Linked DNA regions of Saccharomyces cerevisiae S288C. Each later gene encodes a partner of the first gene's protein in a complex. Each region holds a gene or a part of one and is shown on either strand. Other genes may lie near its edges.

Region 1 (2,920 bases):
AAATACTCACTAATATATATATATATATATATATATGTACATATACATATATAGATTTATATGACGTTTCCGACGCATACTGGTGAACCACTTTCTTTTTAGTGAATAGCCTCATTATGCAGTTTCCGGTATTTTTTTTCCGTTGCTTCAGCTACGGGATTTCTTCGATGCCATTGAAAAATAAAGTTGTGTTCAATGAGAATATGGAAAGAAAAGACACTTTTTACCAGCTGATCTTAAAAGTTTTGTCTGCTTTATTACTTCTATCGGTAAGAAACTCGAGTGGACATACGAGACACTTTGTGCAGTCGTCGGAGAAAATTTATAGGCGATCACTCTTTAAGCAATAAGAAAGTTTCACGTATATTATTGAATAATACATTAATCATATTGTATATCGGTGGTTGTACAAGGAAAGAGCGAGCCTGCACAAAATGTATGTTGATCCGATGAACAACAATGAAATCAGGAAATTAAGCATTACTGCCAAGACAGAAACAACTCCAGATAACGTTGGACAAGACATTCCTGTAAACGCACATTCGGTGCATGAGGAATGTTCTTCCAACACACCCGTGGAGATAAATGGAAGAAACAGCGGAAAGTTGAAAGAAGAAGCGTCTGCAGGTATTTGTTTGGTTAAAAAACCAATGCTACAATATAGAGATACCTCAGGAAAGTATTCCCTAAGTGACTTTCAGATTTTAAGAACTTTGGGAACTGGCTCATTTGGGAGAGTTCACCTAATTCGTTCCAATCACAATGGGAGGTTTTACGCTTTGAAGACATTGAAAAAGCACACTATAGTGAAGCTGAAGCAGGTTGAACACACCAATGACGAACGCCGAATGCTTTCAATTGTTTCACATCCATTCATCATTCGAATGTGGGGAACGTTCCAAGATTCTCAGCAAGTTTTCATGGTAATGGACTACATTGAAGGTGGTGAATTATTTTCTTTACTACGTAAATCTCAAAGATTTCCCAACCCAGTAGCCAAATTTTATGCCGCAGAGGTATGCTTAGCGTTGGAATATTTGCACAGTAAGGATATAATATATAGAGACTTGAAACCAGAAAATATCCTTCTAGATAAAAACGGCCATATCAAGATAACCGACTTTGGCTTCGCAAAATACGTTCCCGATGTCACATACACATTATGTGGCACACCAGATTACATAGCGCCGGAAGTGGTCAGTACAAAACCGTATAATAAATCAGTGGATTGGTGGAGTTTTGGTGTGCTAATCTATGAAATGCTTGCCGGATACACTCCATTTTACAATTCGAACACCATGAAAACTTACGAAAATATACTGAACGCCGAATTGAAGTTCCCACCATTTTTCCATCCAGACGCGCAGGACTTATTGAAGAAGCTAATTACCAGAGACTTAAGTGAAAGGTTGGGTAACTTACAAAATGGAAGTGAAGATGTCAAGAACCATCCGTGGTTTAACGAAGTGATATGGGAGAAATTGTTAGCAAGATACATAGAAACGCCGTACGAACCACCAATCCAACAGGGCCAAGGTGACACTTCTCAATTTGACAGATACCCTGAAGAGGAATTCAACTATGGAATTCAAGGGGAGGATCCATATATGGATTTAATGAAAGAATTTTAAGGAGGTTCAGTGGGATAATTGTAATTGAAAAAAAAAAAAAATCAATAAAAGTAAAAACAAGAACAAGAAAAAGCACAAACAAACCTGGTTATAGATTCTTGGTGAGTCTAACAGGGCCATGATAAAAAAGTGACACATGCATATATGTACATGTATATATCTACGTACGTCTATTCAATAGAGGTGTATACAGATAAATAAAGGAGCATTCATATACGCCATATTGTGACTACATTTGCGTCCTCAGAAGACTGGGACGTTCAAAGTGATCTAGGACTTTTCACCCAGGGAAAACAGGATATCTGTAAGAATCGGCCATAAAACTCATTAATAGAAGAACAGTATAACATAAGTGAGCCTGCTACAATAAGAAGATGTCTAAGGTTGCACAACAGTTAAAATTTTTGAATAAAATTAGCGCCACTACCAGACTACCGCAGATTCTAGTCGATCCTAAAAAATACTCAGGTCTTAGATTGACTTTTCAAACGAAAAACCACAATGGACATATGGGTGCCAGAGTTTTTTGGCATAACTACCTACCCACTTTGCAGTTCTATAATCCAAGAATGAAGTTTGACGTGATAAGGATAAAGAACGAAGACAAGCAAAAAAGCGTTCCATGCAAACTGGAGATTTTATCTCATGAAGGCTCCGTTGTAGAGACTATTGATATGCGTAATAAAATGCATGAAGATATAATGAAAGACTTACTTGACAAAATAGAGCACGTTCCTCTTCCTGAAAATGAGATCATAAGAGTTGGACCGCAAGAAAGTATTATATAAGCTTTCTCTCGATAAGTTTGTTCATGTATATATCAAAAAACATTGCCCTTCATGGAAATATGTAAATTCAAAACTCACTTATGGGGCATATAAGTATATAATTTAGAGTACAATAAGTAGGATTGTGCTGAATATTGTCAGCCCTTGGGTCCCTTTTTTTGCCCTCCGCGTATTTCTTGTGGAAAATAAGGAAATTTCATTTTCACTTCAACTAGCTAGTTTAATTGCATGATGGACTCAAAAACATTGACAGCATCAATGGTAATGCAGGAGGAGAAGAAGCGGCAACAACCTGTGACAAGAAGAGTAAGGTCATTTTCTGAGTCCTTTAAAAACCTTTTCAGGCCGCCTCGTTCAAGAGATTCAAGTCCTATTAATGTCACCCGAATTCCTTATCGATCGTCTTCTACCTCACCCAAGAGAAGCTCTGAGCCACCAAGACGATCAACCGTATCCGCACAAATTTTAGATCCAAAAAATTCTCCAATACGCCAGCGTAGT
Region 2 (3,013 bases), on another chromosome or scaffold:
CGAACAAATCGCAAGTTTTCTCTCTGCATTAACTAAACAATACAAAGACTTAGTGGTCTTCAAAGGCACTTTGAGGGACTTTTTGGTGCAAATCAAAGAAGTCGGAGGTGATCCAACAGATTATTTGTTTGCTGAAGATAAAGAGAATGCATTAATGGAACAGAATAGACTAGAGAGGGAAAAAGCTGCCAAGATTGGTGGGTTATTAAAACCTTCCGAACTTGATGATTAGAGGCGGTGGCGTATCATTCTTTAAATTTCCAATATTTTTTCCCTTTTATTAACTAGTCTCTAATTTATAACCACGGGGTTTTCATTTCTTTTTCACTTCATATTGTATGTAAATTGGTTCTTCAAAGTTCCAATACTCTAATATAGTACTAAATACTATTTAGCCAACTTCATGGAAAAGTAAAGAATATTATTTGAAGATTCTTAAGTGATTACCCATTTTATTGTTATTATTGATGTATGTACATGATTGTAGTAAAATACTTATACGCCTTATGCTCAAGTTTTTTTGATTGCATCTTGAATTTTAACGAAACTGTTTTTGGGCCCAGCCACAGAGCCTTTAACCCAAATAACATTATTTTCATCGTCGACTTTCAAAACTTTAACATTTTGGATAGTAACATGCTCGTTTCCCATATGACCAGGCATCTTTCTTCCTGGCAGTACCCTACCTGGGTCTTGGTTTTGACCATAAGAACCACCGTGTCTATGCATAATAGATGTACCATGAGATGCTCTCAAACCCTTGAATCCATACCTTTTCATCACACCAGTAAAACCTTTGCCTTTGCTGACTGATCTGACGTCAACATATTGGCCTTCTTTGAAAAAAGAGGGTTTCAATAATGTGCCAGGTGGTATTAATCCCTTTTCATCTTTAACTCGGAATTCGGCCACATGCTCTTTTGGGTTAACAACTTTAGAAGCGAAATGACCAAGCATTTGTCTGCTAACTTTAGACAAATGCCTTGATCCGTACCCTACTTGACACGCGAAGTACCCATTGACCTCCGAAGTTCTATGCATTATTACTTCAACATTATTAACTTCTAATATAGTAGCGGCGCTTCTTTCACCAGTAGATTTATCAAAATAAGGCATCATTCCCTTCTTACGAGTAATTAAACCGCATCTTTTTGGTAGCCATTTTCTCGCATTTGCCAGTTCAGGTGAGTGATTAATCGCTGGAGCCTCGGTTGTTATACTGTTAGCAATACTAGGAGCCACTAGAAAAGGCCGAGTAGAAGAATATCTAACATGAAGTTTTGATATGCTAAATATTGATCCCTGTAGGAACTTCGACATGGCTATATTTGTTCTCTCTTGCTTTCAAAGAGTTGCCCTTTCTCGTCCCAGTTGTCAATTTATCGTCCATATATTTTTCAATAAAGTTCGTTTGACAAGGGATTACCCGAAAACAAATATCTCGCGACTGTAATAGGAGAAATGGCATTAGCATTTCAATTAAGGAAAGAAGAGGATCATCGAGAAACGAATTTATGGTGCTTATTTACTGTTACAACATTTCATGATTTTGAATTTTATTTATACATGTACATTCTCGTACGGTGTTATTTCGTAATTATGGGATGTGCCCAGTTGCTTCCTTAAGTCTTCCGTAGAAGCTTTAAAAGGTAAGATTTCCCCCACACTAGGAGGCTGCAAGATGTCAGTGTCATCCAATAACCCACTAACACGGAAATTTATTGCATTTGACAACGTTGACGGCGGTTGTGATAAAGAAGATGATGTTGTAGTGGATGAGTTACCAGGGAGATATTGGGCCTTTATTAAATTTCTTAAAGATCCTGCAGGCTTATAGCGAGGTTTCATAGAAAGTTCTGATGGGTTGGTCATAACAACACTTTGTCTAAGCTGATATGGAAGGGGCGTACAAAATTGCTTTGTCAAAGATGTTGACGGTATTTTCGTAGGCGAACTGTAAAACATTTCAGGATGATCCATTGGATTCAACGCTGTCCCATTAAGCCTAGCTGTAGGTACATGTTTTAGTGTTTTTGGAGGTTTAGGCCTTCCTTTGAATGACGTCAAGGAATGCGAAGAGGTGGAATAAATGAATTGGGTAGGCGTGGGCAAATCTCCGATGTTCTCATAATTTTGAGGATGTTCTAACGGGAGGGGATAATTATAGTAGTAATTGTCATCATTGCTCTGGTTGCAGTGATCTATAAAATATGTAGAATATTGCTGAGCAGAAGTAAGATTTGACTGACCCGAACCCTCCGAAAGGGCCCGTACGGGAGCCTTTGCAGAGTGAATATGGTCCTTAGCGACCGTGTCAGAATATATTGATGAGGTAATTCTCGTTGAAAGACCATTCGGTGGTGGGAATGTAAGAGATAGAGACGATTCGGGAATCACTTTTTCTCTGGTTGCTACTTCTGAATATACTGACGATGCAATGTTTTTATTCTCTTGTGGTGCCGGCACTTGCAGATAATCAGTTGCATCTTCATATTCCTCATTGGCGCTGGAACTGGAATCAATTTCTTGGACAGTTGTACTTCCGAAGTGACTCTGTTCAATTAATGTAGTATCATTTGGATTGTCTTGAGAGCTCATATTTACACTTTTTCTTGTAGCGATGTTTAATTTAGAGTCACGCCGTATCGAAGAAGTTACAGAGGATCGTATCGTGCTATTACTTTTCTCAAAATAAATGTTATAAATGCTTCTTATTCTGTCAATATTTTCTTCCTCCTCTCTCGAACACTGAGGCTCGAGCCCGCTACGACTCGTATAATTCGATTTAAGTCGATTATCGTTGTTATGGCTGGACTTTTCATTTACATCAGGATTTGACGTACTATCACATCTTTGATCACAGTCTTGCCCAGTATTTGAGTGTTGTGGTGAAACAATCAGCTCAGAATTCTCTAACGATTCGAAAGAAATCTTATTCGAAAGGTCAATGTGCTTGGAGGGGACCGATAACTTGCTGTTATTCTGCGAAGCCAGTGAAGCAATATTATAAGCG

The links. Proteins that work in one complex are often made in the same cells at the same time.
Region 2: MRP49 (region 1) and MRPL9 share a complex: the UniProt entries of both Saccharomyces cerevisiae proteins name them as parts of the mitochondrial large ribosomal subunit.

The regions. Positions count from the first base shown.
Region 1 is NC_001143.9:133,220-136,139, reverse strand, and holds MRP49 (mitochondrial 54S ribosomal protein mL61 MRP49), read left to right. Parts: upstream 1-2,005; coding exon 2,006-2,419; downstream 2,420-2,920. Other genes in the region: cAMP-dependent protein kinase catalytic subunit TPK3, read left to right, coding at 435-1,631; putative serine/threonine protein kinase KKQ8, read left to right, coding at 2,678-2,920. UniProt on the Saccharomyces cerevisiae protein: Component of the mitochondrial ribosome (mitoribosome), a dedicated translation machinery responsible for the synthesis of mitochondrial genome-encoded proteins, including at least some of the essential transmembrane subunits of the mitochondrial respiratory chain.
Region 2 is NC_001139.9:935,564-938,576, forward strand, and holds MRPL9 (mitochondrial 54S ribosomal protein uL3m MRPL9), read right to left. Parts: upstream 1,321-3,013; coding exon 511-1,320; downstream 1-510. Other genes in the region: exportin CRM1, read left to right, coding at 1-232; TOS2 (Tos2p), read right to left, coding at 1,561-3,013. UniProt on the Saccharomyces cerevisiae protein: Component of the mitochondrial ribosome (mitoribosome), a dedicated translation machinery responsible for the synthesis of mitochondrial genome-encoded proteins, including at least some of the essential transmembrane subunits of the mitochondrial respiratory chain.